Linked DNA regions of Macaca fascicularis. The protein of the gene in region 5 binds, or shares a complex with, the protein of the main gene of each other region. Links are inferred from orthologs where the notes say so. Each region holds a gene or a part of one and is shown on either strand. Other genes may lie near its edges. The genes, in order: SNRPD1, SCNM1, CWC22, CWC15, RBMX2, PLRG1 and RNF113A.

Region 1 (4,007 bases), on a different chromosome or scaffold from region 5:
AGGCAAAATTCATGTATGGTGGAAGAAATTGGTTGCATCTAGGGGTATGGAGTCAGAGGTTGCCTGGGAAAGGCTTGAGGAAACTGAGGTTTTGGTAATGTTACTTCTCTTGATAGGGGTTTAGGTTACAAAAGTGCTTATGTTTTTCAATAGCAGGAAATATACGCTGCATTTCATTGTATTAAGATATTCACCTCAAAGAAGGAAAACAAAAATCCATGAGTGGGATAAAAAGGGCCTGAACCTCAATGGTGGTGACCGGAACGAAAGGAGGCTACTATGGGCAGGACAAATACACAATTATCCCTCCCTAACTGAACCCAGGAACCAAATGGATTCAACTTATTTTCAGACGAATCTTTCAGTATCTGAATTCTTTCTACTTAGTGAAACTTAGATATCAAATAGTCAGATAACACGGTGTCCCTCAGTATCAAAACACACTATCTGAACCCAAAAAACAAACAGGAAAATGTGGGACACTTTTATGCAGTAGGTAAAACTGGCAGTGTATCAAATGTCAAGGACATCAGGAGAGAAAAAGTCAAGCTCACCTCCCAGGTTTTTGGTTAGGGTGACAGTGAGAATAAGGATGACAACTACCAACTGATATACAGAAATTAGTCTACTGAAAACGCAAACCAGTTAGTCAAACAATCATTTTCTGGAGGAAAAATACATTCTCTGGTAAGAAAAAAATTTTCTTTCTATATTTGACCTAAGACACAAAACAGGATTCAGTCCAGCTATTAAAAATTACTGGAAAATTGCCATAACATGCAATATCTTTAAAGGGAACAAATGAAATCCAAGGTGTATTACATAAAATTGAACTATGAGTAGATTAAGATTCAGATTAGCAGGTATGGAGAAATTTCAAAAAATGTTGTAATTTTCTTTTTTGAGACAGAGTCTCGCTTTGTTGCCCAGGCTGGAGCACAGTGGTGTGACGTCGGCTCACTACAACCTCCCGGGATCAAGCGCCTCTCTTACCTCAGCCTCCTGAGTAGCTGGGATTACAGGCGCCCGGCTAATTTTTGTATTTTTCGAAAGACGGGGTTTCACCACGTTGGCCAGGCAGGTCCTGAACTCCTGACTTCAGGCGATCCGCCTGCCTCAGCTTCCCAAAGTGCTGGGATTACAGGCGTGAGCCACCGCGTCCAGCCTAAAAAATGCACTTTAAATTCTATGACTTCCTATCCAAAATTATAGTTCAAATAAAAATACAACAAAAATTAATCTTAATTGTCTTTTGTACCAACTCCTCCCTGAATTTTTTATTTTTTTATTTTTGCAACGGAGTCTCGCTCTGTTGCCCAGGCTGGAGCGTAGTGGCCAATCTCAGCTCACTGCAACCTCTGCCTCCTGGGTTCAAGCGATTCTCCTGCCTCAGCCTCCTCAGTAGCTGGGATTACAAGCGCGCGCCACCACGCCCGGGCAATTTTTGTAATTTTAGTAGAGACGGGGTTTCACCATGTTGGTCAGGCTGGTCTCGAACTCCTGACCTAGTGATCTGCCCGCCTTGACATCCCAAAGTGCTGGGATTATAGGCGTGAGCCACTGCGCCTGGCCTCCTCCCTGAATATTGAAGGCTTTTATGTGTTATTTAAAACGTTTCAAACAAACGTTATCTACTTGTCTGTCATCCCCCTAACTAGAAAGCTCCAACAAGGATCTGCCTTTTAAAAAATACTATTACCAGCGCCCAGTAGGTAACAGGTGCCCAATAACTATTTAGCGGATAATGACAATCCTTGACTCAACAGGAAAGAAACAAGCTAAATATTTATAATCGATGGCTTAGTTATTAGAAACGTCTGCCTCTGTTCCAGGCTCAGTCTCAAGGAAAAAGACCAAAACCAAATCTACTCGCAGGTAGTTTGGAATTAGTCTCCAGAAGACTCACCTAAGTGACAGGGTCTATTTCTCGCGAAAGAAATAAAACAGAATAACTATATATCATCTGGGTAATCAGCCACAATTACGTTGTGATAATTTCTGCCCTATATTGGGAGATTTTCCTAAATAAAAAGCTTACCTTAACAGGAAAGAGGTAGAATAATCAATCATAAGTCTAAGGAGAATCAAAAGATAAACTTAAAAATCGGCCGGGCGCAGTGGCTCACACCGGTAATCTCAGCCCTTTGGGAGGGCGAGGCAGGCAGAACGCTTTAGCCCAGGAGTTCGAGACCAGCCTGGTCAACAAAGTGAGACACCGTCTTATTTAAAAAAAAACAAAAACAAAAACTTGTGAAGCCAGAAGTCCTTCTCTGATTTAAAACAGTTTGCAAACAGGTTTGTTTCCAGATAAGCTCATACAGCTTTCTAAGTACTCTTAAGTAGGGCTGGAGCTCCACTCAAAAAGAAAATCAGTAACTGTAAGGGCGAGATGTCTCCCAGGCGGCGCTGCACCTTGAAAGTCTCTAAGTCACTAGGCGGGAAGAAAAGGCTCGGCCTTTATACCAGTATCTTGGAAGACACGCGGGATCCGCGAGCGACCCAGGCAGAAGCCCAGGCCCGAGCACGAGCTGCGGGCGCAGTAAGGCCGGCCGTTAGCAGGCCGCGCACACGCGGCTTTCCCGCCTCCTGCAAATGGGAGAGCCCAGCCTTCCGGACTCCGGGCCAAGCCCTCCCTCCACAGCCCCCAGAGCTGCTTGGTCACTCCCTCACCTCACGAGCTTCATCCTAGCGGCGCCGTCACCCTTCGGGTCCGAGAGCGCACAGAATCCAACAACCGAATACTGACCAACTGCAGTATGAATGGCCGGAAGCGCCTACTCCAGGGACTCCGGTCGTAAAGGGCGCGCGGAGCACAGCAGACGCACGGCGGAAACGCCGAGGCTGCGCTGGGCCGCACTCTCTTCCGGTCGCGAGGAGCGCGACTGCGGCCCCTGGCGGCTGGAGGTTGCCTTGCCACGACTGAGGGTGTTGAGGGCTGGTCTAAGAGGAAAAGTGTCCCACAAGAGAAGGAGATTCGAAGAGGTTAAATCCAATTAATAGGACTGTCGCACTTTGGGAGGCCGAAGCGGGGGTATCACCTGAGGTCAGGAGTTCAAGACCAGCCTGGCCAATAGGGTGAAACCCGCGTCTGTACTAAAAATACAAAAAATTAGCCGGATGTGGTGGCGGGCGCCTGTTATCCCAGCTACTCGGGAGGCTGAGGCAGGAGAATCGCTTGAACCCGGGAGGCGGAGGTTGCAGTAAGCCGAGATCGCACCACTACACTCCTGCCTGGGCAACAAGAGCGAAACTCCGTCGCGCGCGCGCGCGCGCGCGCGCACACACACACACACACACACACACACACACTAGTACTGTCACCATCACGTTTCTGAATAGCAGGGCACCGTGAGTGCAGCACCTAATATAAATTCCTCACTGAACGAAAATAAGTTCTTAGAGAAGCCCAAAGGATTATGCTAATTCTGTTCCAACGCCAGGAACCTTAGCATTACTTAATGTACCTGAAGCAATTCACACAATGAGCCGGGCGCTGTGGCTCACGCCTGTAATTCCAGCACTTTGGGAGTCCGAGGCGGGCAGATAGCGAGGTCGAGAAATCAAGACCGTGCTGGCCAACATGGTGAAACCCTGTCTCTACTAAAAATACAAAAATTAGCTGGGCGTGGTGGCACACGCCTGTAGTCCCAGTTACTCGGGAGGCTGAGGCAGGAGAATCGCTTGAACCCAGGAGGCGGAGGTTGCGGTGAGCCGAGATCGCGCCACTGCACTCCAGCCTGGCAACAGAGCGAGACTCCGTCTCAAAAAATAATAAAAATAAAAAAATAAAATCACACAATGTAGCGGATTATTTTCACTTTAAGTTCCGATCTATAAGACAAACTTTTCAATCTTCATCTTTCACAACATCTCCTCAAAATTTATTTTTATTGTTTTTCTGAGACAGAGTCTCCTTCTGTCGCCCAGGCTGGAGTGCAGTAGCACCATCTTGGCTCACTGCAACCCTTGCCTCCCCGGTTCAAGCGATTCTCGTGCCTCAGCCTCTC
Region 2 (4,298 bases), on a different chromosome or scaffold from region 5:
GGGAGGCCGAGGTGGGTGGATCACAAGGTCAGGAGATTGAGACCATCCTCACCAACGTAGTGAAACCCCGCCTCTACTAAAATACAAAAAATAAGCCAGGCATGGTGGCACATGCTTGTAATCCCAGCTACTCGAGAGGTTGAGGCAGGGGAATCGCTTGAACCTGGGAGGCGGAGGTTGCAGTGAGCTGAGATGAGATCACACCACTGCACTCCAGCCTGGTGACAGAGCGAGACTCCGTCTCAAAAAAAAAAAAAAAAAAAAAAAGCTTTGAAACAAGAAGGGTCAGAGAGAAAAGAAAATCTGAGGAAACTGATTAGGCACACTCACCTTCGAAGGGTGAGATAATGGTCCAGGGCTCGTCTTCTTGTGGGGCTCATGGGTGCAGGGGCTGAGACAGTTGCTGACTCCTCAGCCTGTGGGCCAGCCCCAGGTTCAGGTTCCCTACTGATCTTCCCGCTTTGGAGTTCGACCTCTGAGGGTGGCACAGGAGAAAGGGAGACAGAGGGACCAGGGGCTTCTGGTCTAGGTAGAGAAGAATAGTCTGTAAAAGCAGTAAGGGAAAGGGCCAACTCTCCTATGACTCCCAACCTCTTAAAACAGTGTTTCTTAAACTATATTTTTCAAGATATTAGTAAGTTCTGCATACAAAGGATTTTAGAATCATGAATTTGGGAAAGGCTAGCTTTAAATTTTACAAGTTTTTTTTTTAATTCTTAAGACTTTGTATAGCTTTTAAAACTGTTACTCTTTTTTTTTTTTTTTTTTTTTCTGAGATGGAGTCTTGCTCTGTCACCCAGGCTGGGGTGCAGTGGCCAGATCTCAGCTCACTGCAAGCTCCGCCTCCCGGGTTTACGCCATTCTCCTGCCTCAGCCTCCCGAGTAGCTGGGATACAGGCGCCCGCCACCTCACCCGGCTAGTTTTTTGTATTTTTTAGTAGAGACGGGGTTTCACCGTGTTAGCCAGGATGGTCTCGATCTTCTGACCTCGCGATCCACCCGTCTCGGCCTCCCAAAGTGCTGGGATTACAGGCTTGAGCCACTGCGCCCGGCCTAAAACTGTTACTCTTCAAGTAGAATTACAAAGTGCCATTTCCCAAACTTTATTTAAAAATCACAAAATTCTCCTTTTCTTTTTCTTTTGAGATGGAGTCTCACTCTGTCACCTAGGCTGGAGTGAAGTGGTATGATCCTGGCTCACAGCAACCTCTGCCTCCCGGATTCAAGCAATTCTTCCACCTCAGCCTCTTGAGTGGCTGGGATTACAGGCACACACCACACACCCAGCTAATTTTTTATATTTTTGGTAGAGACGGGGTTTCACCATGTTGGCCAGGCTGGTCTTGAACTCCTGATCTCAAGTGATCCACCGCCTAAGCCTCCAAAAGTGCTGGGATTACCGGTGTGAGCCACCGTGCCCGGCCAAAATTCTCCTTTTCTTGAAACACTAAGTAACATCTCCAGAACGCTAGTATTCCTCAGAATACAGACTGGAAAACACTTTCAGAGCCCTCTATCTCCTTCCGAGCCTTCCTACCTCTGGCTTTCCCCTCCCATACCTGTACTTCCGGCGGCAGCAACTGTTATAGTGGGGAGCTCTGTGCAGAGCACTCTGGGTGATAAGTCGTGTCTGGGTTAGCAGAGGAGCCTGGTAAGAAGATGGGAGACAGAGTCAGAGCCTTCAGCCCTCTGCCCTTCCAGCCTGGTGTGTGCAGCAGGGTCTTGCCTAGAACACACTCTCCACTCTCTGATTACCTCAGCTTTGGTTTCTTCCCTCCTCAATTCATTCTGATGTCTTGGATTCTGCTTCCTTTCCTTTCCCGGCTGCTTCTTGCCATAGAAAAGCTGCAAGCCTGAAGAGAAAGGGAAACAGAATTAAAAGCATAGCACCAAGGCTGGTGTGCAGAGATTTCGATTTATTCCCCATCCCCTGTCTTCCCCCGAACTTACTGGACAGATGTTTCTTGCCTGCACGGTGGGCAGTCAGCATGGCCAGGGTGTCCAGTACCGGTCGATGGGGGCAGATGGCACAAGCAAAGCTGAGCAGGGGTAGAGAAGAGGATAACTGGTCCAGGGGAAGAGGGTTGGGCCTGTCCCTGCCGTAAGTCCCACCCTGTCCTAGCAGTCTTTGCAAAACCCAACTCCCTGGTGACCCAATCTCCACTTCTTCCAGTCCTCACTAGCCGCCAAAGAATCCTAGATACTTCTGCTGTCCTAATTAATAACAAAAGTTTGTTGAAGCCGGGCGTGGTGGCGTGCGCCTGTAATCCCAGCTAATCGCGACGCTGAGGAGGCAGGATCACTTGAGCCCTAGAGTTCAAGGACAGCCTGGGCAACACAGCTATTGAGCCTCTAACCGCAAAACCCTCAGGCTTGAGCCACTCCTCGCTCTTACCGTCCATCCCGAAGCATCAGCGCCTCATCCTCTGGGATGTAACTGGCGAGGAGGTCCCCGACTCTTCTTTTCTGCAGGGAGTAGGGGAAGAAATCCGGACGGATCAGCAGGATAGGAGAGAGGGATGGAAGTTAAATGACAGAAATGAGGAGTCAAACGGAATAAGGACATAAGGACCCTGGGGAGAACAGCGATCATAGACCGAAAAAGGAGTCACTACACAGCTCTAAGTCGCCTGGTTCTCTCCTGCACCCCCGAGTTGTTGCCAGAGCAATGAAACAACGCTCCTTCCCAACCTTCAGAGAGCGACTGAAGAGGCTGCAGATCCTCTCCGCTCACGCTTACTTTGAGCACATTGAGTTGACTCCAATCGTCTCCTTCCCTCTTGAAAGACATCACGACTGTGAGTCCCAGAGTGATAAATTTTCTTGTTCCGGTTTCGCCACTCCTCTAGGCCACCGTAGCAAGAGCGGGACAGCGCCTTCTCTTTTCTCTTTGTCTTCCTGTCGGCCCCCGTACTTCCGGGAATGCACTTCCACGCATGCATTGCGCCATCCGGATATCCACTCTCTGGCGCGTGGAGGGAACTGCATTTCCTATGGTGCCGTGCGACTCTGCAGACGCGACGCCTTTTGGGAAATGAAGTCTTTTCCTCAAAGACCTTGCCGCTCAGCTGGATCCAGGCCCTTGCATCTTGGTGGATCTGAGGCGTTTAGAGGGACAAGAACCTAGATGTGGAGCCGAAATTTGAGGGTGTGACCTATCTGATGCGGAGCGGACCTGTGAGGATCTCTGAGTGGAAGGTGTACTACAAATTCTCGCAATCCTCACGCTCTTCGTCTGCGGCGACAGTTCACCTGGGGTGGGCCTGATTTGTTCCTGGCTCTAGCAAACAAACCCCGGGACCGGGCAGAGCTGGGATGTGGGAGCGCCCTGAGGCCAGGCTACTTGGGGGCAAACTGAGGAAAGAGTGTTGAGGATTATTTCTAGAGTTCAAAGGTCAGAGGTCAATGTAGCGAGGAGTTGTGGGGGAGTTCAAAGTCGGAGGGGTGCTTAGGGGCGAATCAGGGAGGGACTGAATACTCAAGGGACAGATTTGTGGATAAGGAGTTGGAGGGAGGAGAAACCGGGAGGGGGCAGGTGGCGTAGTGCTGGGGAGGCGGGGACACAGGGGAAGAGAGAAGGGGAAAGGAATCCCCTGAATATCTATTCCCAGACTTCAGGCCTGTCACTCGCAGTCTCGGTCGGGCCTCCCCTAGTTGCAACCTAGCTGTCGGCAGGGTGAAGAGATGGCTTCCCCGTCTAGACAGCCCCCGCCAGGGGGGTCAGGACTGCTTCACGGGAGCCGGGCTCGTTCATATGGAAGCCTGGTGCAATCGGCCTGCTCCCCAGTGAGGGAAAGACGCCTGGAGCATCAGTTGGAGCCCGGAGACACCCTGGCTGGACTAGCACTCAAATATGGGGTGACGGTGAGTTTTCCAGGATTGGGGTGCAGACAAGAGTCAGGAGGGATTTAGTCCTGAGAAGAATGTAGTGGACCTTCTAGGTAACCTCCCCTGAAATGTTCCTAATGTGTTGAACTCTGTTCTGCCTTTATCTTTGTTTTCCCATCACAGTGTTGCACTGCGTGGTTGGGACAAGTTCTGCTCTACTATTCCAATGGAGAGGAACAGCTCCTATTTTATCATGCCAGACACTGTGCTAGGGGCTTCACATACGTTAGCTCATTTCACCCTCACGTCCATATCAAGTATACATTTATTGTTCCCTTTTGGCAGATGAAGAAACTGAGACTTGGATTGGTTAACCATTTTGACTAAGGTCAAATAATGATTGTCAGATATGGGATTCAAACAGGTCTGTCTGACTCTGTAAACCACACAGAAAATTTTACATTGAGAGT
Region 3 (4,295 bases), on a different chromosome or scaffold from region 5:
AAATGTGTCACCGTGCTGTCTTCTGGGTGGTCTCAGGTACAAGCCACTGTAGGTCATTCAACAATGTTCAATCATGGGGAAGGAGAGTTAACTTCTTTTCTTTTTCTTCTTCTTTTTCTTGAGACAGAGGCTCACTTTATCACCCAAGCTGGAGTGCAGTGGAGTGATCTCGGCTCACCGCAACCTCCGCCTCCAGGTTCAAGTGATTCTCCTGCCTCAGCCACCCGAGTAGCTGGGGCTACAAATGCACAGCACCACACCCTGCTACATATTTTTGTATTTTTAGTAGAGACAGGGTTTCACCATGTTGGCCAGGCTGGTCTCGAACTGCTGATCTCAAGTGATCCGCCTGCCGTGGCCTCCCAAAGTGCTGGGAATGCAGGCATGAGCCATCGCGCCCCAACAGAAGAATTAACTTCTAAAAATTCAACAGCTGGGAAAGCTAATAGAGCTAAGAAAGCTCGCTTAGAAAAACCAGGTAGTCTAGGAAGTGTCAGAACTCCAAAAAGTGATTGGAGGTAATCTATCCAAAGCAGGGAAGGATGTGGTGGCATAATAATAAATACTGGCTGGCCATGGATCAAGTACTTTGGAGCAAGGAGGGAAACAAACCTGATTCTGAGGACAGGGGGAGGATGAACCATAGCATGCCCCTAAAAGATGGGCTAGAGCAGAAGTTTTCAAACTAACTGGCATGAGAATCACTCGAACGCTTTGGCGCAAAAAAACCCAAAAAAAAAAACAAAACTGTTGGGCCTGCATTTCTACGTTTCTGATTCAACAGAACTGGGTGAAGCCCAGTAATTTACATTGCTAATAAGCTTCAAAGAGATGTTGCTGATTCAGGAGACCACATTTTTGGAACCACTAGACCAGGGTATTAGATCAAAGTTCTTGGCCTTTAACTTATAACCAAGACGGTCTCAGAGCCCCAGTCAATTGAGTTGGGTAAGACTCCATAAAAGTGGCATGGACACTTAAAACTAGAAGGGCACTGGCCGAGCGCAGCGGCTCACCCTGTAATCCCAGCACTTTGGGAGGCTGAGGTGGGTGGATCACGAGGTCAGGAGATAGACACCATCCTGGCTAACATGGTGAAACCCCGTCTCTACTAAAAATAAAAAAAATTAGCAGGGCGTAGTGGCTGGCGCCTGTAGTCCCAGCTACTCGGGAGGCTGAGGCAGGAGAATGGCGTGAACTCGAAAGGCGGAGCTTGCAGCGAGCCAAGATCCGCCACTGCACTCCAGCCTGGGCGACAGAGTGAGACTCCGTCTCAAAAAAAAAAAAAACCTGGAAGGACACTTAAAGGTGGAAAGGCAACACTCAGACCCAGAGGGCAAGAACTGAGGCACAGACAGAACTCATCAACTGTATCATAGTAGCAATTTACAATAATACAAAGCTAACACTGTATATCAGGCACTGTGCTCAGTGCCTCATCTGCATTATTTTCTTTATACTCAAAAAAAGACAACACAGTGAGGCAGGTATTGTATTATTACCTACATGTTTTCAGATGATGAAGCTGACTATATATAATAGAGACTTTAACTTGCTCCAAGTGACAGACCTAATAATAGCTAAATAAAACTGAAATCTTTGGTCTACTAGTCCATCACCCAGGACCAACAAAAGTAGCTTTCCTCAACCTACTGATAAGGCCTGTAACAAGGCTTCTCCTCTCCTGGTCAAAACCACACTTTTAATGTCAATTTTAAATCTGCCCTTGCATAGTAGGATAATCTGTGTTAACTCCTGAATTCACAAGCAATCCTACAACAAGATAAGTCTAAATACGGATAAGAGGTAGGTTAACTGATCTGCTGAGGACCCAATTTGTTTGTTTATCTGCTATTTCGAGTCTCTGCACATCCAAAAATGCAAAGGAAACTCTTACCTAATTCTTGCATCTAGAATAGCCTTTCTCCAAATCCTGCCTTCTCCAATTACCTCAAAAGAATTGTTAGGATTAAGTGGAAATAGGTATGGTAGTTTTTGCAGTTAAACTCAGTGAAATTAACGATTATATTTCCGTTCTATAATGCTGTGTTACAGGACCCAAAGCTCCTTAGAGAGGTGGAGTCTGGACACCCAAGTTTAGCAGTTATTACCTCATTGGAGATAGTTCAAGTTATGTAAGGATCAAGAATGACAGGTGAAGAGGACACAAGAGAAGCGAAGCGTCTTCAAAACTAAACTCTAGAAACTATCAGTATTTACAGGGCAAATAAATGAAAAAGAAACCGCTAATGAAACGTAAAACAAATAGCCAAAGGGATATAACGCCGGAAAGAGGCATAAGAGTGCAAGTACTTCAACTAACTTTTAATCAACTAGAGCTCATTAATCCCACTCCCCAGGCACTGGGAAAGGGGCTTTGGCAAGCCCAATGGACTCCAGAGGCTCTAAGTATAAAACACACCGCACACGAAACAACAGAGCACCAGCGTTGGTGCAGGACTTCAGACAGCTGCAGGAACCTCACAAGGAAGGTCAGCCGGTCCGCTCAGGCAGTCAGTCAGTTCACCGCAGCCCATTCGCTCCCCACCCGCTTGGACTCCTCGGACCCAGCCACTCTCACACCCCTCTCGCGGGCCCGAGCGTGGCGGGAAGACCCACGCACACTCCAATGCCGCTCACAGCCGTATCAGTGAGCCCGCACCCACTCCTCAGGGTCTTTCACTTCCCACCCGACCCGACAACCCGCCACCCCCGCTCCGCTTCGGTGCCTACGGGGACTCCGCGGAGTTCGATAATTACCTAAAGCTGCACCGCGCCGCCATTACACCGGATGTACGTCACTTCCTCTTCCCGAGCACCGACAGTAGGAACAAGGCAGATACTGAAATACATAAAAACTTGACGCTCAATTGGCTTGACGCGTTATCCTTTTAATTTATTTCAGATACCATATCATAATGCCAGAGTCAAAGCAGTCGATCCAGGCACACTGTATTCTTATCAAAATGGCGACTAAAAAGAAGTTGGCATGAACTACAAAGTCCGAAATCCAGCACCTGTGCTGACGGAAATGACGAAAGCATAATTGTAGTTTAGCGGTGAAATGGCGCGGTGTACGATGGGAATTGTAGTTCATACAGATGCGCGCCAGCGAGTTAACATCCACGCTGCTGACTGGCAGCCTAGCAGTGTTTAGGGTCTAGGCAAATTTACTTTAATCTAAAAGTATTTCACTGCATTTTGGGAATTTTTTTTTTTTTTTAGTAGTCAGTTGTCACTTTCCTTGAAAATCTTAAGTGAGAGATTTTCTTGAGACTTTTTTTTATAAGAGTTTGACCAAGAGTCAAGTGCCTAATAAATTCCAAGACATCCAAGCCAAGAGAATGGGAGAATATTAGATCATAAATAGAGTGAAATAATGAGGAAAAAATAATTCTGTAGAGACTATGTTGCCTGTCTTTTAAGGTAAGGTACCAACTGGTATGACCTGAGAATAAGGAGATTGCCTGGCTGAGTAGGAAGTAGCAGTTTGTACAGCATGCAGAACTAGGGCATCAAACAAATTGTTTCTTTAAACTTCACTTTTCACTAGTAACAAAACGTAAAAGTTCAACTACTTACTATTTTGGAAACTCTCTTTCTAAAACAAGAATATCTTTATGTTATCAAATCTTTCATAAACCAGGCCTGATTTCTCCACACACTTCTCTATTACAGTTTTAGGGTGCTGTGCTTCCACTCCTTTCTGGAGGCAAAGTGTGAGAATTAAGAATAAAAACACTGCAGTTGGACTACTTACGTTTGAATCTTGAGTCCTTTGATTATTTATGGATGATTGGGGCAAGTAACTTCACATTCTGTGGCCGTTTCCTGATCTGTTAAATGGAAATACTAGTAGTACCCATTCATGCAGTAGTTGTAAGAATTGAATTAGTTGATTCACAAGATACGTTTAAGATAATTGCTAGTATACAATAGTGTTATCTATTTTATTTCATATTTAAGATATTTGGCCATTGTTGATGGTGCACTTTGGTGTACCAATACAGGGCACAGGAGATGGATCTGGAGATGAACATTTGTATTTATATATTTAAAAACCCACAATACTATCTGTGATGGTTAATTCTGAATATCAACTTGATTGGATTGAAGGATGCAAAGTATTGATCCTGGGTGTGTCTGTGAGGGTGTTGCCAAACTGTTGACAACTGTTTGTTGTCAAACAGTTGAGTCAGTGGACTGGGGAAGACAGACCCACCCTCAATCTGGTGGGAACAATCTAATCAGGTACCAGCGAAAATAAAGCGGGCAGAAAAACGTGAAAAGGCGAA
Region 4 (3,500 bases), on a different chromosome or scaffold from region 5:
GGATGATTTGACTTTGAAGAAGTTGATGCTAAAATAAAAGTGAAGAAAGACAGTGTTGTAACTGATAAAGGATGGGAGGTATAAAAATAGAAACTGAGGCCGGGCGCGGTGGCTCACGCCTGTAATCTCAGCACTTTGGGAGGCTGAGGTGAATGGATCATGAGGTCAGGAGTTCGAGACCAGCCTGGTCAACATGGTGAAATGACATCTCTACTAAAAATACAAAAATTAGCTGGGCATGGTGGCGCATGCTAGAGGCTGAGGCGGGAGAATCAATTGAACCTGGGAGGTGTAGGTTGCAGTAAGCCGAGATCATGCCACTGCACTCCAGCCTAGGCAACAGAGCGAGACTCCGTCTGAAAAAAAAAAGAAAAAGAAAAGAAACTCAATAATAAGTCAATAAAAACAAAATAGATCAGCCTCAGGTAAATTAGTAGAAATTCATGTTAACTGGATATAATTTTGTACATGGTAGTTTGTCCTATTTTAGGAGTTTTCTTCATTAATAACTTCTCACCAAACCTAGAGACGCAAGTTTACATTATTAGTAATTCAAAATAAGATTAAATTAAATCACAGTTATGTATGACCCTTTAAAATTGAGATAATAGTTTTGCTAAATGTGTCTTTTTGATATTTAATATGTTCTTAAATTATTAGAATATGCTTATTGATATACGCTTAAAATTTAAAGCTATTAATTTTACATGTACTTCAAGAAAGAAAATAGATTTAAATATGAATCTCTAACATTTCACAGTTGGAAGAGACTGATATCAACCATGAAATATTTATAATAAAAATGCCAACTTATTTTATTTTGATGAGGGAGACTTTTCTAGTATGCCTCAAAAACCAAAAAAAAAAAAAAAAAAAAAAAGCCTGCCTTGATGCTTTTCTTGCCGTAAAATCCCAATGATCTGTTTTTTTTTTTTTCAGTGAGCTAATATAAAAAAAATTGAACCCAGAGTTAAAATAAGTAAATACTAATCTTCCTTTATCATTGACAGGAACAAGAACAAAAAGCTGAAGAAGAGAGGATTCGTATGGAAAACATTCTGAGCGGAAACCCTCTCCTTAATCTCACTGGCCCATCGCAGCCTCAGGCCAACTTCAAAGTTAAAAGAAGGTACTATACAGTAACGGAGTAATGAAGTGTGTGTGTGTGTGTGTGTGTCTATATGCACAGGCATGCAGATTATAAGTTGGATAGCAAGGTGCATTATATGAAGCTTCTAAAAGTCCACCGTTCGTTCACGGATACTCTTCTCTGTTCAATTAGGAATAATGGAAGAAGCTAAATGAAAGAAAATTAACTTATTTTCAGTAGATAGTTGCAATAACCAGCTGTGTACCAGATAATGATGTAAGCACTAGGGACAGAGTAATAAACTGAGGCCCTTACATTTTAGGTATGCGTATCAAGGGTCCCCAAGATGGCCTCTCACATTCAGACACTCACTGGAAGAACTCAGGGGACTTGGCATATAGTTACATGCTTGGCTAAGGTAATAAAGACACACAGCTAGATTATAAAGGGAAAAGACACACACGGAGAATGGATGAATCCATGCGCAGGTTTCACTATGCTCTATCCCTTCCATGAGTGGTCACACAGCACATTGTTTCCCCCAGTGCAGCAACGTGTGCAGTGCTGCTGCCCAGGGAAGCCCATTAAAGATCCCATGCCCAGGGTTTTTACTGGGCGTGGCTAGTCATGTACGCAGCTTTTGCTTAGCACATAGCAAAATCCAGACTCTTAAAAGGACAGTAGGTGTTCAGCATAAACCACATTATTTGTAAATTGTAGGCACAGTGACAGTGAGAAGATTTCTTAAATCCAAATTTTCAAATGCCAGCCAGGGGCCAACCTTGGAAGCAGGCATTTCTAAGGATTGTGGTCCCAGGCCTGCTTTTTAAATTCTTTCTGTACAGTGTGTGTGTTTGGAGGGGTAAAAAGGAGGGCTGAAAAGGGAGGAAGTATAAATTGTAAATACTGTAAATCCTTCAGATGGTGATATGTAAAATAAAACAGAAAAGCTTACAGGAAATGTTGAGGAAGGAAGAATGGTTGTTATTTTATATGCATTCATCAAGGAAACACAGTGCTTAACTTTTAAACCATATTCGTTATTTTTCACCACCTCTACTGCTATTATTTGCCATCTAGAGTGATGCAGTACTGCTACCCGCCCTCCCCTCTGGAGTGATGCAGTACTACTGACCGCTTTCCCCTCTGGAGTAATGCAGTACCGCTGATACAGTTCTGGAATTAGTCCAAGCTGGAGATAGTAGATTTGGAAGTTATCAGCTCAGATAAACTTTCTAAAGCCATAACACAGGATGAAATCACCTAGGGAAGGGTATAGCTAGAGAGGAGAAGTCAGAACTGAGCTTAGTATAATGTTTAGAGGTTAGGGAGATGATTAGTTACCAATACCTGTTCTAATCATCTACCCAACCTCTAAACATTATACAGGTGCCTGATAAATATTGATTGAATGAATTTTGAATGAAAAAGTCTAGGCTGACAAGCAGCAGCCAGTTGGGAAGAGAGGAGAACTGAAAGAAGTGAAACCAAGTGTTTCAGGAGGAGAGGAGTGATCATTTAGGACAAATACTAATGTCAGGAAAGAGCATTTTGGTGTTGGGAAGGAGGGACAAAAAGCCTGTTTGGAGTTGAGGAAAGACTGGATACAGAAAAAACTACTGATTATATATAAAAATAAAGCTATATAGTTTGTTTTTTTGCTTTTTTTGAATGCAAATGGAATTGGAGACAGAAACATGTCTTATATCCCAGTCATATTGATCTGCTCAGCTTCTTATGCTTCTCTGTATACTGCATCAGTGATGACTTTACTGCACTATTTTCCAAAGGTGCCCACGTTTGTTGCTCGTTGTGCAGTTTCCCACATTTGTTCCCATGTGCAGTTTCTCCTGGCATGTAAGCGCATACACACATACACACACTCATGATATGGGTTTGTGTTTTATGTATATTTGTGAGGGTATCTATATTATGTATATGGGCAGCTGTTTTATATGCTAGATGATATTCTGAAATCATGCTCTTTATTTTCTATAACACATGTATTTTATAACTTACTTATGGATTTTTTTTTCACACTTATACCTTATGGAATCCAACCAGAGTTCTGCCCTGAGTTCTTCGGCTGGTACTTCTCCGTGGTTAACGTACATGTGCGCCATATCTGAGCCTTAATTATTACACCCCAATGATTGCTTCTCCTTTTGTTGGCCTGTAATGCAAATATTACAGTAGATGATTACTAAACATTAACTGATAAAAGAGGAATATCTACAATCCTCAAAACCACATAATCTAAACTACATTAAATTGATTGGCTACTATCATCTACAAATGCCTATACTAATATTAGGGTAGTCCTAGGTGCAGCCTCTTTGTATTAGACCTAAAAACATTAAATATTTATGCAATTAAAATCTATGTATTTCTATTTTTTAACTCAAAAGTT
Region 5 (4,299 bases):
GGATGGCCCTACCATCCTGCCATAGCAATCCCTCTGCCAGTGTATGCTACCTGTGTTTGCTTGGCCAGCCCCTTTTGCCATGGTCTGCTACCTGTACATGCTGTCCAACTTCTCTGAAACAGTACTATGCTCTGAAGGCCTACAAAACCCAAATGTAGTGGTCCTTTGCACCTGTGCCAAGATCCTCTGGCCCTGTGGACTAACTGTGCTGTTTACCTCTGGGGTTGCAGGCCAGCTGCCCAGCCCCTCTCCTACTAGCTGCTACTACCAGTATGAGCCACCAACACCCTCTCCCACCAAATGCTGCTGCCAACACCTCAGCAGAATGAAGAATATACAGATCTCCTATTCATTCTTGTTCCTCGTCAGGCTGTGATTCTCAGCCTCCAGGTAGAGATTGGCTTTGCTCACTAACCTTACATTCATTGAGAATCAAAGAAAGCAAACTACAACCTTCTTTCTGTTTTTCATCCCAATTCCTCTGTGGTTTGCCCCAGTCGTATGATGCCACACAGGCAAGGACCAGAAGGGCCCTGTGACCATGGGTTACCCCTAGTTTGCAAGAGCCCAAGGAGGCGTACCAATATGGAACCTTCCTGAGGGTTCCAGTCTGTTCCAGTCTAGGCCCAGGCTGAACAAACCTCAGTGAAAAACAACAGAAATAGACTAGAATCCCCAAGATGGCCTCCCAAATTAACAAACCTCTTGGATCTCCCACAGGAGAACATTCTAGAACCATGTCCTGGGACTGATCTAGACTAGAGCAGAAGCTCCAGCCCTCCCCATGCAGGGACACCATTCAGCCTAGAGTGAAAATAAGTGGTTTTTGTGATGCCACAAAATGCATTACAGAAAAAAGTACTCTGTCGACTCAGGAGGCAGGAAATGAAAGGGGACTTACTGTGAGAACACACAGATGATGTCCCCTTCAGTCAGTTCATAAGGAAGCCCTCCTAGAAAAGAAAACCACATTTCAGTTCCACCAACATTTACCAAGTGTTTACTACGTACCATGCACTAGGCCAGGCACTAGGGGTGCAAACAGTAAGCAACAGGCCCTGCCCTTAAAGAAATCAAGTCTGGGCTGGGCACCATGGCTCACGCCTGTAATCCCAGCACTTTGGGAGGCCAAGGCGGGTGGATCACCTGAGGTCAGGAGTTCGAGACCAGCCTGGTCAACATGGCGAAACCCCGTCTCTACTAAAACTACAAAAAAAATTAGCCGGGCGAGGTGGCGGGCACCTGTAATCCCAGCTACTCAGGAGGCTTAAGCAGGAGACTCGCTTGAACCCAGGAGGCAGAGGTTGTAGTGAGCCGAGATCACGTCACTGCACTCCAGCCTGGACAACAAGAGTGAAACTCCAACTCAAAAAAAAAAAAAAAAAAAAGAAAGAAAGAAATCAAGTCTGATGCAATGACAGAAGTACATGTAAGGTGCCAGTAGAACAGGAAAAGGAGTGACTAATTTTGAGTGGAAGTCAGTGTCACCACTAACAAAAGTAAACTGATCACTCAGTCCTCCTGGCACCCAAAATCCTATGGGCAAAGCAGATAGTTTCCATCACAAACCTCTGCTTCCACAAACATGTTGAATTCATCTGCTCATTACCCACAAATTTACAGCTATGATACAAAATTAGTCTACATATGTCATGATTAACCCCACCTACACATAGACAAAGGTTATAAAGACACTGTTAAGCATTTCCTAGGGAATAATTTCCCTTCCAAATGTTTCTTTCCTCATCTGTAAGATGGGGATATTAGCAGGTAACTCGCAAGACTGTTATAAGAGTTAAATAAAACGATGCATATAAAGTGCTTAGCACAACGTTTTTACAATAACCTCTTTGAAGCATCAAACTTGTACAATTACTGGTTGTGATATAAAGTGAATACAGTAATGGTAGTGTGGCCATGGTCAGAAAGCAGGAGCTAGAGGAGCAAAGTGAATTCTGCAAGGGAAGGGGAATGGGGGAGGGCGGTGGTAGCAATATGGGGCTGTGGCTAAGACCATGAGTTCTAGAAAGCTATAGTTCTGCCTGTTGCGGTTATTAGCTATGTGACCTTAAGGAAGTCCCTTAACTTCTCTGCACCCCAATTTCCTCAGCTGTAATAACGGGTCAGGGGGTGAGAGAGAAATAACAACAGTCCCTGAACCTTAGCACAGCAAATGGCAAACAGTAACTCTCATGAGCACTGATTTGGCTGGGAAGGAAAACTAAAAATGGGGCAGAAAAAAAAAAAAAAAAAAAAGATGGAACACGGATTCCCGGGCAGACAGCAGATGGATATAAAGGAGGGCAATGAATGTAAGCAGGAGTGAAGGGTGAAAATGCTGAAATAGTCGGACACCGAGCAGGAGAATCTTGGGAGCACTGCGGAAGAAAGATGTGCACCTCACCCAGGAAGATCCAGGCGCTGTCCTTGTACTCGGAGTGCCAGGACACTTTATCGGCCACCCCAAGCTGGACCTCTCGTTCATTCAGCTCGTTGATCAGCTTCACCTTAGTTAAAGGACTTCACGGTGGCGGGGGTGAGGGGAGGCAGAAAAGCAGACAAGTAAATGCTAACCGGCCGAAGCTGAAGAAGAGCAAAACAAGGGGACGAGGTGTTCTAGTCCCCGCGCCTCTCCCGCCCCTCGACCCCGCAGACGCTCTACCACCCCAGCCCCAGTAGACCACCCTCAGCGGCCCGCTGCTCGTTCCTCAAAAGGAAGCTGACGCCTTACTTCATCTCCGCGGGCTCGCGCTCAGCATTCAGGAATCAGCGCCCGGGAAAGGCAGCGCCGCGCATGCGCGGCCCCGGCGCCGGTGGCTCGTCGAGTCGGTGACCTCGCGCCGGAAGAGCTGGGGCGTACCGGGGCGTGGCGCCTGCGCACTAGAAGCCTTCCGCGTTCTTTGCGGTTACCTCTTGTAGAAACGGTTTTTCTCTAATTTTTCGCTTTTTCTCCTCTGTGAAATGGGGTAAAGGCACGAGCCTGGGCTGTTGCAGGACCCCCAGCTCTTGAACGATATCGGAAACTGGTTAGATTAGCTATAAATATTTGCTGAATGAACGGAATAAGCAGCCTGATGTGGCGACTTTAGTCTCAGCCCTCGCTCCCAGTCCAGAGTCCCACTTGGACCTTCGCTCTTAGTCAGTTGCTCACGCACAGACCCATCAAAGCATCCCTGTCATGGCAGAAAAGTGAAGAAGATAGGTGAAAAGGTAAATCTTCTGTTGTTCTTATCCCAATACATAGGCAACAGACCAGTGTGCCTCTATAGGCTGAATTGAATACCTACAGATTTGCATGAGAGCCGCTGCACTTACTCTTTTCCATAGGCTCTCTCCTAGTTGAGCAGGAGACAGAAATTAATATTGTTAAATTAATAGCTAGCAAGTGAGCAGATGATGTACTGTATGATACTAGAGTATGTGCTAAGCAATTTACATGTATTGTCTCTCCACCCTCACAACAACCCAATGAAGCAGATAAAATTACAATTCCTGGCCGGGCGCAGCAGCTCATGCCTGTAATCCCAGCACTTTGGGAAGCTGAGGGAGGAGGATTGCTTGAACTCAGGAGTTTGAGACCAGCCTGGGCAACATAGCAGAACCTGTCTCTAAAATAAAGGAAAAAAGGGGGGGCCAGGTGTGGTGGCTCACACCTGTCATCCCAACACTTTGGGAGGCTAAGGCAGGTGGATCACCTGAGGTCAGGAGTTCAAGACCTACCCAGCCAACATGGTGAAACTCTGTCTCCTCTAAAAATACAAAAATTAGCTAGGCATGGTGGCACACGCCTGTAATCCCAGCTACTCGGGAGGCTGAGGCAGGAGAATCACTTGAACCTGGGAGGCAAAGGTTGCAGTGAGCTGAGATCGCACCACTGCACTCCAGCCTGGGCAGCAGAGCGAGACTCCTTGTTTTTAAAAAAAAAAAGAAAGAGAAAGTAAAAGAAATTTCCACCCTCGTTTTGTAGAGGAAGAAATGAGGCTCAAATGAATAAATTAACTAGAAAGGTACTAGAGCACCTGCACCCAGTAGGTCAGGTTGATTCAATCAGTCCTTACTGAACATCTAGATTTGTCCTGTGCAGCTAAGGTCTGTAGACAGGAGTATCAGGTTGGGTCCTCTGCCCTCAAGGAGCTAATATTATAATTAAGGGGACAAGATATATTTGCCTGATAGATTTCAACCAGAAATATCTAGAAACCAGTGGAAGAGATGATTAACATATAATATGTGATTTAACCCATATTGACAGTTTGAATCCATTTTGCACATGTCCACATCAGTACCTGCTCTTGGACC
Region 6 (4,076 bases), on a different chromosome or scaffold from region 5:
CCACACCTAAGTCCTGCCAGCAGGGGCAAAAATAACACATTTTATTTTTCTATTTTTAAAATTCACACATACGTCTGACATTTCTGATAATACCATACTCACCTTGATTGGCAGGGTACTGTTTATGAACATATGAATCCGTTGCATTCTGAGGACCCTTCTCTTTAAGATTTTCTTTCAAAGTAGGCATATGCAACACAGGACCATACTCATTACGAAGCTTGATTGCCATCTTCCGTTTGTGACTATTTAGAAATTATAAACATAAGAACGTATCCATAAATACTTTAAAACAAACACTTAGACAGCTTAAGTTTGCCCAATCATGTAGGAAAAGTTTCTAGTAAGATTTTAAGTAGTATTTAAAAGAATCAAAAATTTCCAAGTGCATTTCCCCACCATATCTGTTCTTTTGCTCACATTCCACCACACAGCATTCATTAAACCTAAGTAATATTTTAGTTTGTTACCTAATAGAAAATATTTTATGATAAATTATCAAGGGTCTGCTTGAAAGATATATAGAAACTAACATACCCTTTAAGAAACCTCAAAGTCAATACGCTTTCCTTCAAAATATAAATATAGTAAAAACTCTACAGCAACCTTTACTAGATGTATCCAAACAGGTTAGTTAGAACTAAGAAAAGTACTTAATTGGTTCAATATTTTAAAAAGAAATGCACTTATATTACTTTTAAAAATAGTCTACTTTACAAATTAAATATAAATGCTTGTTTGAGGAGTTAAGTCGATTTTAAAAGGGTAAAGGACAAAGAAGGAACACTGCACATAATGCAATCCCAGACTGGAGCTGGATATGTAGAACCAAAAATATGCCACCACTCAAAAATCTTCATCATACTAACGAGAAAAGATGGGAGTAGAGGTACTGGCCAGGTACAATTTCAGCTCAGCAAGGCTCTGAGAGCAGCGGGAAGCTGAAAGCACATACAAAGTGATTGATTATAAAATAAAATACCTAAAAGGGACTCTCTTAATTACTGGGTATTTGTAAAATGCAATTAATTAATGGAACTTTTACTGTAAAAGGCCAAAAAAAAAAAAAGTTAAATCAGCTTAAATTATGCCAAAACACCACTCATTATTGAATTAGCCCATGAGTATTGCCAGTTTATCTTTAAAGGTCTCCCTCTTCCTGCTCTCTTCCCCCAGTATTAGAATGTTAAATATTTCAGCAATTGAAAAAAAAACTATACCAACCTCTCTTCATCTAAAGGCACAGGTTTTCCATTATCAGCTACAAACATGTCATGGGTCCTCTTCAATGACCTGAACACAAGTGTGTGTACAGAATGTTTCTGTACCTCCTTAAAAAAAAAAAAAAAAAAAAAAGTAATTACACACCTATCTACAAATTACACAAATCATAACCTAACGTCAGATTGATTATACACTTCACATGTTTAAATATGTAAAAAGCTTTATACCACTCACCATAGCTACTTGTTGCGAGCTACAGGAGTCAAGTTCAGAGAAGAGGAGGAAGCTCCTCTTTGGCTAGAACCTCAGGTATAGCAACTGAGTGATGCCATAGTTTAGTCATTTACTCAATAAATATTTACTGAGCTCCTACTGTGTGTCTGGCAGGTATCGTGCTAGAATCTCACAATAGAATGATAAAAGGTAGTCATGGTCCCTGTGCTCAAGAGGAAACAGACAAATAAAAAGTAAAATAATTCCACATTTTGATAAGTGCTATGAGGGCAACAAGCAAGGCACTGGGTCGGGAAACGAAGGACTAAGTATAATTGTGAAAGACTTCACTAAAGTGATATTTAAGCAGAAAGGGAGTTAGCCTTGCACAAAACAGAGATAAAAACGAACCAGGCTGATGGAAATGTCATGTAAAAAAATGTTCAGTTAACTGAAATAATACAAGAAGGGCGGCACAGCTGTATATGGTGGATGAGATGGTGCTTTGTGGTTGCAAGGGTAGACAAGGTCCAGATTAGGTAAGGTATTTTAGACTATTACAACAGCCTATGTTTTCTTCTAGCAACACAGTCAGTAAAGGGTTTTAAACAAGAAAGGTATGAACAACTTACATTTTAAACAGAACAACTTATGGAACAAAATGGAAGCAAGGAAATCAACGGGGGGCTAATGCACCAGGCCCGGTGAAAGATGATGTTGGTCTCAATTAAGGTGGACTGCAGTGGATACGGAGAAAAGTGAATGGAATCAATAAACATGTGGGGTAACATGGACAAGACCAGCTAACAGAATGGCTGGCTGTTCATGCCAGGGAAAGATGTAAAGAATGGCAAGTTTTTCTGGGAGTAGAGTTGAAATAAGAGACGACTTGAACGCAAGATAGAGAAGACCGCCAATCTTTTCGGGCACAGAATCACTGACACTGCCCCGAGGGCGGCGAGTACCAGTGGTCGAACACCAACAGAGGCCCCGCCTCCAAGGACAGTTTCCAGCTCCCAAGAGTCAAACGAGGACTGGACGAATTATCTCAGGCTTAGCGCCCGGACTGAACCTCCGACTCGGGTTCTCATCCGGCTTCTACCCCTTCCCCGAAAACCCGATGAAGAGACCACCCGGCCTTGGCCAAACAGCTTCCCTCGTAGCCTCTTTTCTCTCCGGACTCCAAGCACTCTCAATCCCCCAAGCCCACTGCCAAAGAAAAACAGTCCAGAGACAAACGACTCTTGAGAGTCCCAGTGTCACTTTACCTCGACCATGATGCTACCGCGTATCCCACCTCCGGCAGAGAAGAAACCCTAATCACTAACGCAGTACCCGCCGCCACAACTGTGCTGCACCTTCCGGAATTGGGAGGCCAGGCGGCGGATGTGATGCAAGCTCTGCGCACGCGCGCTAGTCTCCCCCGGCCCTCTGGGATCAAGAGGCGGGTCTCCCTCCTCAGGACCGCCCCTAGGGCGGAGGCTCGAGGCTGTAGAGGGGAGACACCTGGAAGCGCCTGACTGGAGGATTTCACTCGCTCCTCTGAAGAAGTCTTCGAATTATGTTTTCTGCCTTACCTTCAGCCTTCAATGTCTTGGCTGGGGCCCTGGTTGTTCATGCTGTATTCCCCGGAGTTTAATGCTTTTTATTCAGAGAGCCTAAGCTCTCTGGAGAGCAAACTCCCGTGGGCTCTATCTAAGGCGCTTCCGCTGCCTTGATCTCTTTGGAGGTCGCCTGCTTGCTTTCTGTCTCCTGGTTCCAATCCTGGCGAGAAGCACTTGGACACTTGTAGGCTTAACACCTGAAAACAATTTCGCTTAAACAGTTCAGTAAACACTTGCTGAGTGAATGTTGAGGAATGGCTGTTTTAATTTGGAAAATTTTGACATGTAGATATAAGAAAAACCCATATTCATTTTCTGCTAATAGATTTTTTTTTTTTTAACTTCTCAACGCTACATAGCTCTTGGACATTTCCTAGTTGTCTGCTGATTATTGTGGCTTCAACAATGCCAGGGTACAGCTTTTCAAAGCTGGTAGAAGAAAGACACAATTGGAGACTTTAGCCATTTTTATTTATACATATCCTTGTGCCAAGTATTGGTATTTTTGCTTCCTACCCTGGTAAAATCTCCGGTTTTGATCAACCCTACCTAATTATTTTTCTATGTAAAAAGAAAAATGGATGGACTTGGGCATTTGCAAACTTAAATAGACAAAACATTTTACTGGCCCTGTTTCAGTTTCACTGATCTGTCCTGACAGCGTACTGCATACACTTTGAGAGGGGGAAACAATCTAGCAAAAGAATAGCAGTGTAAATCAACGTCACTTGGAAATTCATTAAAAACATTAAGGTCATGGTTTTTTGTTTGTTTGAGAGGGAGTTTTGTTCTTGTCGCCCAGGCTGGAGGGCCATGGCGCAATCTTGGCTCACTGCAACCTCCTCCTCCTGGGTTCAAGCGAGTCTCCTGCCTCAGCCTCCGGAGTAGCTGGGATTACAGGCGCCCGCCACCACGCCCGGCTAATTTTTGTATTTTTAGTAGAGACGGGGTTTCACCATGTTGGCCAGGCTGGTCTTAAACTCCTGACCTCAGGTGATCTGCCCCTCTCGGCCTCCCAAAGTGCAGGAATTACAG
Region 7 (3,163 bases), about 10 Mb from region 5:
AAAATGCAAATTAGTAGTACAAGAACAGAATCTCCTAAATAAAATCAGACCACTACACTTTAGGATTAAGTTGGTGACCGTGACTTCTTACACTATTTTAACCAACATGAATTTTTTTTCCTTTTTAAAAAAAAGAAAAAAAAAAGAAATATCTAGTTGTTGCCTTTTGGGACACTAAGAAACAACAGCTGTAGATCACACGTGGACAATCACAAATTCAAAAAGTAAGTAAATTTATACTCTGTACTCTAGAGATGATGTGAAGGGCTAAGAGGGGAAAATGAATCCTGATGTAAAACACAAGACCTTGCAGTAAATTCCTAAACGCTTGCAAGAGAAAGTGGGGAATAAAAAAGTCAAGGGTGGCCGGGAGCGGCGGCTCACGCCTGTAATCCCAGCACTTTGGGAGGTCAAGGCGGGTGGATCACCTGAGGTCAGAAGTTCGAGACCAGCCTCGCCAACATGATGAAACCCCCGTCTCTACCAAAATAAATAAATAAATAGCCGGGCGTGGTCCCGGCTACTCAGGAGGGTGAGGCAGGAAAAATTTTTTTTTTTTTTTTTGAGACGGAGTTTCGCCCTTGTTGCCCAGGCTGGAGTGCAGTGTCGCGATCTCGGCTCACTGCAACCTCCGCCTCCTGGGTTCAAGCGATTCTCCTGCCTCAGCCTCCCGAGTAGCTGGGATTACAGGCATGCGCCACCACGCCCCACTAATTTTGTATTTTTAGTAGAGATGGGGTTTCCCCATGTTGGTCAGGCTGGTATCGAACTCCCGACCTCAGGTGATCCGCCCGCCTCGGTCTCCCAAAGTGCTGGGATTACAGGCGTGAGCCACCGCGCTCAGCCAGGAGAATCTCTTGAACCCGGAAGGCGGAGGTTGCAGTGAGGGATTCTCAGGCTTGAGCCACCTCTTCTAATCTACCTTTCCGGCCCCCGCGTCGCTACTCTGCCCTAAGGCCCACTTTGATACACCCAGAAACGCTGTTTTTCACCAGAGCAGGATGTGGTTTCTACCGCGCTTCGTTTCGCAAGCCTCGGCTTCTAGGCAACCGGAAGAAAGTAGAGGGCCGGCCTCGGAGAGAGGGTCCGCAGGCTGACGGCCTCTCTGCCCACCATCCTTTTCAGAAATCAGCCAGTGGAGTCAGCCCCCGGGCCCAGGAAGCCGCCTTACCTTGCCCCCGTTAGTGAACCTCTGGATGTACGCAGTAGCCAGTCCTGGAATAAGCAAGCACACGCCCATGGCGGCGAGTCCGGGGAGAATCTCGAACCACATCTCTGCCCCGTTATCTAGGCCAAAACCCTACTTCTGGGTCCTTGAAAGGTGACCGGGCTTCGGCTCCCTTCCCAGTAAGCCCCGCGGCCGCCCGCGAGCGGGGCGGTGCCACGTACGGCTCCGGAGGAAGCGACGGGATCTGCCAGGGCTCAAGAGAGGCTGGCGCTCGCGCTCTCGCAGTTCTCTTCCGTCAGTGTCTTTTGCTTCGACTCCCGGCGGAGCGCGCGACGTGGAGTAACGCGCAGAGGCCAAGTGCAACCCAGGCAGCGACGGCCGTTTCGGAGCTCGGGACTCTAAAATGGCAGAGCAGTTTTCTCCAGGGAAGACGGCGGATCAGGTGTGCACCTTCCTTTTCAAAAAGCCTGGGCGGAAAGGGGCTGCTGGACGCAGAAAGCGCCCGGCCTGCGACCCAGAGCCCGGAGACAGCGGCAGCAGTAGCGACGAAGGCTGCACTGTGGTTCGACCGGAAAAGAAGCGGGCGACTCACAATCCAATGATACAGAAGACTCGTGACAGTGGTAAACAGAAGGCAGCTTACGGCGACTTGAGCAGCGAGGAGGAGGAGGAAAATGAGCCCGAGAGTCTCGGCGTGGTTTATAAATCCACCCGCTCGGCGAAACCCGTGGGACCAGAGGATATGGGGGCGACAGCTGTCTATGAGCTGGACACAGAGAAAGAGCGCGATGCACAAGCCATCTTTGAGCGCAGCCAGAAGATCCAGGAGGAGCTGAGGGGCAAGGAGGATGACAAGATCTATCGGGGAATCAACAATTATCAGAAATACATGAAGCCCAAGGATACGTCTATGGGCAATGCCTCTTCCGGGATGGTGAGGAAGGGCCCCATCCGAGCGCCCGAGCATCTACGTGCCACCGTGCGCTGGGATTACCAGCCCGACATCTGTAAGGACTACAAAGAGACTGGCTTCTGCGGCTTCGGAGACAGCTGCAAATTCCTCCATGACCGTTCAGATTACAAGCATGGGTGGCAGATCGAACGTGAGCTTGATGAGGGTCGCTATGGTGTCTATGAGGATGAAAACTATGAAGTGGGAAGCGATGATGAGGAAATACCATTCAAGTGTTTCATCTGTCGCCAGAGCTTCCAAAACCCAGTTGTCACCAAGTGCAGGCATTATTTCTGCGAGAGCTGTGCACTGCAGCATTTCCGCACCACCCCGCGCTGTTATGTCTGTGACCAGCAGACCAATGGCGTCTTCAATCCAGCGAAAGAATTGATTGCTAAACTAGAGAAGCATCGAGCTACAGGAGAGGGTGGTGGTGCTTCCGACTTGCCAGAAGACCCCGATGAGGATCCAATTCCCGTTACTTAGCTGTCTGATAATTCTTAAATTTAAATAATAAATATTTTGTTCTTTTGGAAGTCTTAATTCGTGTCCTTCCTTTGTAGAGACAGTGACAGAGAAGGCGGGTGGTGAAGTAGGGTCCTGGATTAAAAACCTCAAGGTAGGTATAATCAGGATTTTTAGCCCTAGGATAACCATTTTGCCTGTGTTTCTTTTCAGAACACTTTGGCATCAATTATAGGGGTGGGAGTAGTTTGAGAAAAGAGCTATAATTTGCTTGAAGTAGCCAAAGCTATGACGAAAGTAAGAACTCTGAGCCTGTTTATCATATCACATTTCTGTATCACTTAATAGTTTACAAAGTACTTTCATGCATTCTTTCTCTTGGGAGCCTGTACTACAAAATATACCGGAGCCAAGGTGTTGGGGAGAGGGGTTGCGTTTGGGGAATTGGTAGCTAGTACCACAGGCTTCACATATGGGAAATGTTCCTTGCTGTCTGGGTTATTTATTTATTTATTTATTTATGAGACGGAGTCTCGCTCTGTTGTCCAGGCTGGAGTGCAATGGCGCGATCTCAGCTC

Evidence for each region.
Region 1: RBMX2 (region 5) and SNRPD1 share a complex: the UniProt entries of both Homo sapiens proteins name them as parts of the minor spliceosome. The link is inferred for Macaca fascicularis from reciprocal best matches to the Homo sapiens genes RBMX2 and SNRPD1.
Region 2: RBMX2 (region 5) and SCNM1 share a complex: the UniProt entries of both Homo sapiens proteins name them as parts of the minor spliceosome. The link is inferred for Macaca fascicularis from reciprocal best matches to the Homo sapiens genes RBMX2 and SCNM1.
Region 3: RBMX2 (region 5) and CWC22 share a complex: the UniProt entries of both Homo sapiens proteins name them as parts of the minor spliceosome. The link is inferred for Macaca fascicularis from reciprocal best matches to the Homo sapiens genes RBMX2 and CWC22.
Region 4: RBMX2 (region 5) and CWC15 share a complex: the UniProt entries of both Homo sapiens proteins name them as parts of the minor spliceosome. The link is inferred for Macaca fascicularis from reciprocal best matches to the Homo sapiens genes RBMX2 and CWC15.
Region 6: RBMX2 (region 5) and PLRG1 share a complex: the UniProt entries of both Homo sapiens proteins name them as parts of the minor spliceosome. The link is inferred for Macaca fascicularis from reciprocal best matches to the Homo sapiens genes RBMX2 and PLRG1.
Region 7: RBMX2 (region 5) and RNF113A share a complex: the UniProt entries of both Homo sapiens proteins name them as parts of the minor spliceosome. The link is inferred for Macaca fascicularis from reciprocal best matches to the Homo sapiens genes RBMX2 and RNF113A.

What each region holds. Positions count from the first base shown.
Region 1 is NC_088392.1:68,147,116-68,151,122, forward strand, and holds the start of SNRPD1 (small nuclear ribonucleoprotein Sm D1), read right to left. Parts: upstream 2,801-4,007; 5' UTR 2,685-2,800; coding exon 2,671-2,684; intron 1-2,670. UniProt on the Homo sapiens protein: Plays a role in pre-mRNA splicing as a core component of the spliceosomal U1, U2, U4 and U5 small nuclear ribonucleoproteins (snRNPs), the building blocks of the spliceosome.
Region 2 is NC_088375.1:110,052,990-110,057,287, forward strand, and holds the start of SCNM1 (sodium channel modifier 1), read right to left. Parts: upstream 2,801-4,298; 5' UTR 2,792-2,800; coding exon 2,741-2,791; exon of another isoform or gene 2,692-2,740; intron 2,467-2,691; coding exon 2,396-2,466; intron 2,040-2,395; coding exon 1,951-2,039; intron 1,854-1,950; coding exon 1,756-1,853; intron 1,649-1,755; coding exon 1,560-1,648; intron 545-1,559; exon of another isoform or gene 526-544; coding exon 331-525; intron 1-330. Other genes in the region: LYSMD1 (lysM and putative peptidoglycan-binding domain-containing protein 1), read left to right, coding at 3,685-3,864. UniProt on the Homo sapiens protein: As a component of the minor spliceosome, involved in the splicing of U12-type introns in pre-mRNAs. Plays a role in the regulation of primary cilia length and Hedgehog signaling.
Region 3 is NC_088386.1:75,564,267-75,568,561, forward strand, and holds the start of CWC22 (pre-mRNA-splicing factor CWC22 homolog), read right to left. Parts: upstream 2,801-4,295; 5' UTR 2,761-2,800; intron 1-2,760. UniProt on the Homo sapiens protein: Required for pre-mRNA splicing as component of the spliceosome. As a component of the minor spliceosome, involved in the splicing of U12-type introns in pre-mRNAs. Promotes exon-junction complex (EJC) assembly.
Region 4 is NC_088388.1:93,949,601-93,953,100, reverse strand, and holds part of CWC15 (spliceosome-associated protein CWC15 homolog), read left to right. Parts: intron 1-1,010; coding exon 1,011-1,129; intron 1,130-3,500. UniProt on the Homo sapiens protein: Involved in pre-mRNA splicing as component of the spliceosome. Component of the PRP19-CDC5L complex that forms an integral part of the spliceosome and is required for activating pre-mRNA splicing.
Region 5 is NC_088395.1:136,676,463-136,680,761, reverse strand, and holds the start of RBMX2 (RNA-binding motif protein, X-linked 2), read right to left. Parts: upstream 2,801-4,299; 5' UTR 2,737-2,800; coding exon 2,732-2,736; intron 2,521-2,731; coding exon 2,405-2,520; intron 954-2,404; coding exon 902-953; intron 1-901. UniProt on the Homo sapiens protein: Involved in pre-mRNA splicing as component of the activated spliceosome. As a component of the minor spliceosome, involved in the splicing of U12-type introns in pre-mRNAs.
Region 6 is NC_088379.1:159,465,751-159,469,826, forward strand, and holds the start of PLRG1 (pleiotropic regulator 1), read right to left. Parts: upstream 2,801-4,076; 5' UTR 2,715-2,800; coding exon 2,706-2,714; intron 1,332-2,705; coding exon 1,225-1,331; intron 942-1,224; exon of another isoform or gene 870-941; intron 246-869; coding exon 103-245; intron 1-102. UniProt on the Homo sapiens protein: Involved in pre-mRNA splicing as component of the spliceosome. Component of the PRP19-CDC5L complex that forms an integral part of the spliceosome and is required for activating pre-mRNA splicing.
Region 7 is NC_088395.1:126,232,984-126,236,146, reverse strand, and holds RNF113A (E3 ubiquitin-protein ligase RNF113A), read left to right. Parts: upstream 1-1,465; 5' UTR 1,466-1,571; coding exon 1,572-2,606; 3' UTR 2,607-2,663; downstream 2,664-3,163. Other genes in the region: NDUFA1 (NADH dehydrogenase [ubiquinone] 1 alpha subcomplex subunit 1), read right to left, coding at 1,172-1,273. UniProt on the Homo sapiens protein: Required for pre-mRNA splicing as component of the spliceosome. As a component of the minor spliceosome, involved in the splicing of U12-type introns in pre-mRNAs. E3 ubiquitin-protein ligase that catalyzes the transfer of ubiquitin onto target proteins.